2 linked regions of the Bombyx mori genome follow. The protein of the gene in region 2 purifies or fractionates together with the protein of the main gene of each other region. This does not show direct contact. Links are inferred from orthologs where the notes say so. Each region holds a gene or a part of one and is shown on either strand. Other genes may lie near its edges.

Region 1 (3,977 bases), on a different chromosome or scaffold from region 2:
AATGTCTAATGACATAACTATAACATGATTTTGATCACTCTCTCTTGACTTTATTATACATATGTATTATTAAATTTTTATTTCATTACCACGGAATGCAACACCTAAAAATTCATAATTCCTTTCAAATGAGAGGGTGTGACGATCACAATCAAGTATCACTCTTATTCTTTCACCAACCTGGAAGATATTTATTAGATTTAACCAAATCATAGAAACACAACAGTAGTCAGCTATATAATACATTACATAAATAAACCCCATTAAATCCAAAACATTCATTAATATCGTTTTACATACATCTATTCTTGGTTTACACATTAACAGTCAGAATGATACTACTTTTGTGGATATTTCTGCTGAGAAGCAGTGATGTCATAATCAGATAGATTTTTACACTGTAACTACTTAAAGCTACAGAGGTTATCTTCCATATCTATTCTAATAAAACAGAGATATGCCTTTTCACTTTAGTGTGTTCATAAATCATCATCATCATTCCTTCCTATTACCCTCTGCTGGGGTGTAGGGCTCGAATCAATTTTTTCCATTTACATCAGTCTTGGGCAGTCTGTTCTAGCTCCTCCCACGTCATGCCCAAGACCCCTAGCTCCTGCTCCTAAATATTATATTATATTGCTCCTGTTCATAAATAGTCAAAATAATTGTTTGCTGGACAAATTATATTCTATAAAATATTCTAATCTACAAGGTCACTAGTTTGAGGGTCAGGAACACAAAAGTGGCTGTTATTGCCTATTATAGTCATATCTACTTCTATTAGATATTGTTTAGTTCAAAACATAGAAAAAAAATTATGTGTAAAACTTCAATTATTTATAAAATAATAGATCATAATTTTTAGCAACATTTACTAGCAAGATAAAATCATTGGAACGATTTTTTAATAAACAGTGAGGTTATTTGCTATAATACAAAGGGAGGACAAAACCTTCAAATGAGACCCTAATAGACCCTATGCATTAACTGGTTTTTATTTCTGTTGAATTACATAGTGTATTTAATTTGAAAAATGTAATTAAATTTAAATTAATCAATAATTTGTATGCTTTAATGTTAAGGAGCTATTTTTTGTATGTTATAAATAGAATAAAAGCATTACTTGATATTTGGGGCAGTTATTTAACAATGGATAGTGTCCTTGAGTATCACCATTGTGTAATAAATGATTATCAACAAGATTCCAGCCCCAACTCAGTTCATCTGAACCAAGCAATCCTACATATCCTTGACATTGCAATGGTGCATCTCTAGTTGACACCCCTATGACAGCTACTGTGCCAAGGGGACCTTCCCATATAATTTCCCAAGCATGACGACCACGATAAAATCCAACCTTTCCTCTACAAGCATCTGTACTCTGTGCTACAGGATTTCTGAAATTAATGTATTGGACTTAGTTTCTTGAAATGACACCATTATCAAATTTTCATACATATACTCTAAAGAGCATTTAAAATTCATTACCTGTGTAAAGTAAATCCATTTGGTTTGATATAAATGTTTCTCGAACAATCATACGGATTCCAAGCATGGCAATATGCTCTAAGTTTTTCTCTATAAGTTCTGAGGCACGAAAGTAAATCAGATTTCATCATTTCTTCTGTTAATCTTCTATAACAATGATATCTCCACACTTCATTATTCTCATCACTGAGCATTCTATACCAAGTCTTACATACCAACGCACAGTTTCGAATATCTCTCAATCTTAGATACAAAAAAATAAGTTCCAAAATATGGTCAGGTATGATTTCAGCAAAAGCATATTTTTTGTATCTATGAATTTGACGCATCTTATTGTAGAAATAAGCATTTAATTTTAAATGCACAATTTTGGTAGTTATTTAATACCTTTTTAGAAAGATCTATGGTTACAGCGGGTTAGTGATTGAATTTTAATATTATTGCTTTTGATGAAATTTATTGGAAATTCTGAGTTTCAGGTTAAGTTGTTTTATTTTGTTTTGTCCACTTTGGACTTTTGTTACAAAAGGGACAGGTCTCAAACAGCCAGTCATCAAGTATGGAAAAATAATATTTAAAACGAGCTTCACAATTTCTAAACAACGCTATCGAATCAGCAGACAATATCTAAAGATTAACACTTTAATGATAACATAGTAAAACACGATTAGTTGAAAATTTGTTGTTTTTATTGTTAATATATGAATGTTCTCCTACGTACTTATCAGGCTCAGGACTGCCTGAAATGAATATTAATACTTACCAGAAAATAAGAAGATTTTATTTCATTTGGGAAGATGAATAATGGAGTAAAAACTACTTGAGCACTACTGTGACATGAAAATCGGTGTAACGAAAAAGCGACACTGAAAAAGGCAAAAAGATATGTCTAAAGGATTATTAGCCTGCGAGAGAATAACACGGAATAATTCTGAAAGTTTTACTTTTACTTCGTTTTACTGCACACATGCTCTTTAATATTAGTTAGTTATTCATATAGTTTGCGGTAGGCAGCGGCTTGGCTCTGCCCCTGGCATTGCTGAAGTCGAAGAAGTAACCACTCACCATCAGGTGGGCCGTATGCTCGTCTGCCTACAAGGGCAATAAAAAAAAAACATATTCATAGTTTCTGTAGTTAATTGTTTGTCACGTTATGATTTTTTAAATACATTAATTTCCCCACTGACCCATTAAACCCGAATTAAATGTTATATTCTGCCAATTTAGGATTTCTTCAGATTTTATAGTGGTAACTTAACACATCTTACACCAAGTCGTCATTGTCTGCCTTTAAAAAAATGTTATGAACCGCTTAGGTTTCCTACTTCAGTGGAACCGCTTAGTGGAGAAGATTTTTGAAACTTTTTTTTTAATTGATAGATGGGTCAAAGATCTCACGGCTCAATTGGTGTGGGTGGTGGTACTGACCCATGCGCACTCACAAGACGACCTACCACCAGTAACTACGCAAATTATATTTTTTCAAGTTTGATTTTTATTACGCGATGTTATTTTTTCACCATGGAAGTCAATCGTGTTTTTTTTTTAAATACATATTTCATTGGAAATTGTTTTGGAATGTCCCCACCTGTGTGTGGGATTGGATCACCAATGCATCGCTACACACGAATGCACCGGACATCTTATCCTTTAGGCCACGACGACGACATACAAATGTACACAAGTTTAGGAAAATATTTCAAGTCGTATGACCTACTTCAGGTTTTTCTAAATTCGTCATTGAAATTTGAATAAATTCCCCCCATTGCACTGTTTTCAAATCGGCATGGGCAGTTGGCGGCTCTTTGCGTGTGCGTACCAGGCTCACCATAAACCGGGAGGAGTGGCGATTGCTCACGAAACGCATAACATCTACCCACAGTAATGATGCTGAATGACGACCACGACCGCTCTGACAAGAGTGATACGACAAAAGACAAGGATATTGAAAGGTTACTTTTTCGTTAATTTCATATGATGTTATGATAACGTTACGTTAATTTCATATGATGATAAAAAATGGCGAGCTTAACTCAACAATTGAGTTTTCTACCAGCTAACCGTTCTTAACGAAGAAAAGCTTTAAATGAGTGAATTTATGTGATTATGCTCCATTTTACATTTTGTCTAACAGATACGGTTTCATTCATTTTATTTTAAATACTTATTCAATGGGCTAGGTGTCTTTTGCCACCCAGTGGAATATTGTATCAAAAAACAATCAACTATAAATTTTAGTAGACTAACACCGGTCACTCACATGCGCACGAATACGCAAACCCACAAGTGTAGGACGACATTTGCGAATGATTATGCAAAGTTTTCGCTGCATTCGTGGTTTTCCAAGCTGTATCGGTTTTTTAAGAGACATCAAAGCGCGCGAGCCTCGAACCTTCGCGTAGTCTCCCACACATTCGCTTGCCCAGTTGCGCCGACGATTGCGAAGGTAACGGACGTATACTATACGCCATTTTCATAGTTCGTGACGT
Region 2 (3,500 bases):
AAACATTTGTTAAGTACGTATTTCATTAGAAAAATTGGTACCCGCCTGCGGGATTCGAACACCGGTGCATCGCTCAACACGAATGCACCGGACGTCTTATCCTTTAGGCCACGACGACTTAATAAAATAAAATCATCGGAGTAATTTGAGTTCCAATAGTAAAACCCAAAACCCGAAACAACAATAGGGGAAAGAGATTTGTTGGTTCTTAATCAGTAAGTCCATAATTGTAAATACTATGGTAAAGGTTCTACTTATTCTAAGTACAGATAGTGTAAGAGTTTATCGAGAAAAGTATTGAATATTTTCGATACCATGAAATATGTTAAGGTTTTTTAGATACGTACTTGTCGTTGCAGAGATGTAAGTTTGTGTCCAGCGAATAGGATGCCAACAACGTGCTCTCTGAGATCGCTGTCGTCGTTGGCAACTCCATCGTCGATTGCTACCGCGGCTTCGGCGCTCGCGTCGCTAGACTGCTCCCATTCCAAGAGCTTCCCGAACACCTACCGAGCGAGTAATCGTTACGAGATATTTCGAATAGACATTTAAAAGTAACATACAGATGACGTGAAAACAAAAAAAAAACAGTGCGCGTGCAACTTAGTACACGCGAATGAAGTGAAACTTCTTTTTCGATATGTAGTATTGTATTTTTGTTCATTTTTCATCGTTAAATCAAATTACTTTTGTAATAGGGAACACTGCGTATAAGAGATGGGACATTTTCCAACATTGATGTTATATATATTTAATTATAGATAGAAAAGTAAATACATTTTTTTTTTAATACTTCATTAAAATATTAGTCGCTACTCGTTGCTAACGCTCGTGATGGCCTGTAATAGGTATATTAGGCGCATGCGTTCGAGTGCCGCTCATTCGCTCTCGCTCTGTCTCTTTCTATTCCATGGTAGCGTTCAACGTTTAACGCAACTTTGTTGGAAGTCACATTAGAAGTTTCACTTCAAAAAAACTCTACTTAATCGCTGGTATCCTCGAGGGGCTATTTCAGCTACGCATGCTTTTCGTAGGTAAGCTAACGAAATCAGCCTAAGAGAACTTGCTAACAATTACCTCAGAAAGAATAGTACTTCGCAGAATTTACCACCGGATCGGAATCGCGACCCACTAAAAAATCCAGCGAGCAACTCAGTGTATTGTGTCTATGGACTAGGTTGTTGCACGTCGAACGAAAACGATGACAATTTAAATACAGATTTGAATGCCCAAGTCTTACCTGAGAAGTCAACAAGCGGAAAACTCGCAGGGTGTCCGTTTCGCAGAGTCCGTGCAACACTTGCGGCGCTGTCACGGCGGCTGAATGGAGGAGCGTCGGCGCGCTCAGGACCCGGACCTGGCGGATTCGAACCGCCGCTTCGGGACCGCGGAGCTCGCATCGAACGCGCAGCGACGTGGTAGACACACCTGTAGTTTCATTCAAATCAATCAAACTTGAAGAAGAGGACACCAGTCGGTACCTCCGGGCACCACACCTCCACCACAATCAAGTCCCACAATATTATGAATAACTAACTGTACCCGTCCGCTTGGCTGGGCATTTAAAATTAACATTATTATTTCTCACCCCCATAAAGATTCTCATCATTAACGCCCCCGCAACTGGTGTAGGGAGTCCAACACTCATATAAATATTAGCCTATCCATTAAGTACATATGTTTTCTACATGAATACCAAGTTTCAAGTCAATTGGCTGCATGGTTCAGCAGTTATAACGGAGCATCCGTAAAAACCACTGTAGATGTATATATTAGTAAAGATTGTGTATATTTCAGTCGATGTGTATGAGTGAATGTGTGACCGGTGCACGCACCTCATAACACAACACCTTCCCCCAACCCACCTCCGCTTCATGTTACCATCACACAGAGGGATTCGCTCGTTCCGTGGCCCCGTAAGGAGTAACGACGACCCGGACAGTTCATTCACACAGTCATTATGTTAAGTTCATAAATTCAATGTAAAACAACATAATTTAATCAAGATTTGTCGGTTTCGTAACTTACGTGGTAAAGTATAGCAGAGCCAAGTAGCGACCTTCGGATCGACTTCTATGTCTTGCATGTGGATCAACTCAGTGGATCCTGAGCTGTACAGGAACGTCATCAGCAGCGTCTTGTTCTGTAAATAGTTAATCATTAATTTAAAATAAGTAAATATGTAATTTGTTAAGAAAACAATTGAAGTTAGTTTTTTTTTAAATTATGTATCACAAAATCTAATTGAAGTGAAAACTTCTTTAGAATCGTTGTGATTTCAAACTGGATGCAACGGAAAAAACGACAGGTAAGAGACACAAATACAAAAATGTGTAGGATGAAGCCAGCAAAGAATGAGACAGAAATATACATACTATTTAATACAGCGCCATCTGTGAGATTTTTTAATACTAAAGTGTGTATGAAAGCTCTTGTAGTGAATTTTAATTTACGATTATACGTGAAATTAAAATATCAATTCACAGAGGGCGCTACCTTACAATTATTTACGAATGACAAAATTTTACACATACTTAAGACGTTTAGGATAATTGTATTTTAATTTTGGAAGGTTTCACTTCTACCACGTGTGAACTGCACACATGTATTTTTTTTTTTCTTATTACTAAAGACTAGGCGAATTGTTTGCATCTTGTTTTAATATTGCGAACATCAACTATCCTACTTTTAACTCTCACAGTGTGAAATTCAAATAATAATGTTCAAATTTTAAAACCATTTCGACACTAACCACAGTGTCCCTTGTGTTATCGATGTGGACGCACACAATGTGCGGGCGATCATCGTGCGAGCCTCCCGGGTAAGAGATTTGTATCCACTTTGCTTTGTTCCTGTCTTCGTCGCCTGATTCCCAGAACGTCTCCGTGCTGCCGTCGGTTAAGGCGCCGGCCATGCCTTGACGTGAAGATACCGTAATATCGCACCAGCCAGTCACGTCGGAAGAGCTCCATACATGATTCTCCTATAATACAGTATAATTTAAGTACCTATTATTAAAGTTTCGATTACCGAACCACACTTACACATGAAATGGACATATCAATCGCCTTGGACTAGCGTAGTGACCCAATCCAAATCTTTGCTCATAAAGCATAAGAAACATATAATCTGTATTATATTCAATACATATATTATTTTGGACGTTTTGACAGTTATATTTCTGCCGTGAAGCAGTAATGCGTTTTGGTTAGAAGAGTGGAGCAGACCTTAGAACTCATGTCTCAAGGTGGGTGGCCGCATTTACGTTGTAAATGACTATGGGCTCCAGTAACTTCTTAAGCACCAGGTGGCCGTGAGCTCGTCCACCCATCAAAGCAATAAAAAATAGCATGATCAATACTCGCAACACACACTAGAAGTGTTTTTCGTCGACATTTGAATATAAAGCTACATTTAGGTTTTGTTCCGCACTGAATGAACTAACTGTGTACCTTGAGGTCTGGCTGGTTTGATTGAGTTTTCATCTTCGCTATAAGAGG

What was found. Proteins that work in one complex are often made in the same cells at the same time.
Region 1: the proteins of E3 ubiquitin-protein ligase MYCBP2 (region 2) and F-box/SPRY domain-containing protein 1 purify together in Homo sapiens (affinity purification with western blotting; 7 studies listed by BioGRID and IntAct, with this or other methods). This does not show direct contact. The link is inferred for Bombyx mori from reciprocal best matches to the Homo sapiens genes MYCBP2 and FBXO45.

The regions. Positions count from the first base shown.
Region 1 is NC_085110.1:9,215,670-9,219,646, forward strand, and holds the start of F-box/SPRY domain-containing protein 1, read right to left. Parts: upstream 2,801-3,977; 5' UTR 1,818-2,800; coding exon 1,489-1,817; intron 1,398-1,488; coding exon 1,124-1,397; intron 181-1,123; coding exon 90-180; intron 1-89. UniProt on the Homo sapiens protein: Component of E3 ubiquitin ligase complex consisting of FBXO45, MYCBP2 and SKP1. Functions in substrate recognition but also plays an important role in assembly of the complex.
Region 2 is NC_085107.1:16,483,987-16,487,486, reverse strand, and holds part of E3 ubiquitin-protein ligase MYCBP2, read right to left. Parts: intron 2,984-3,500; coding exon 2,753-2,983; intron 2,144-2,752; coding exon 2,029-2,143; intron 1,429-2,028; coding exon 1,241-1,428; intron 507-1,240; coding exon 348-506; intron 1-347. UniProt on the Homo sapiens protein: Atypical E3 ubiquitin-protein ligase which specifically mediates ubiquitination of threonine and serine residues on target proteins, instead of ubiquitinating lysine residues.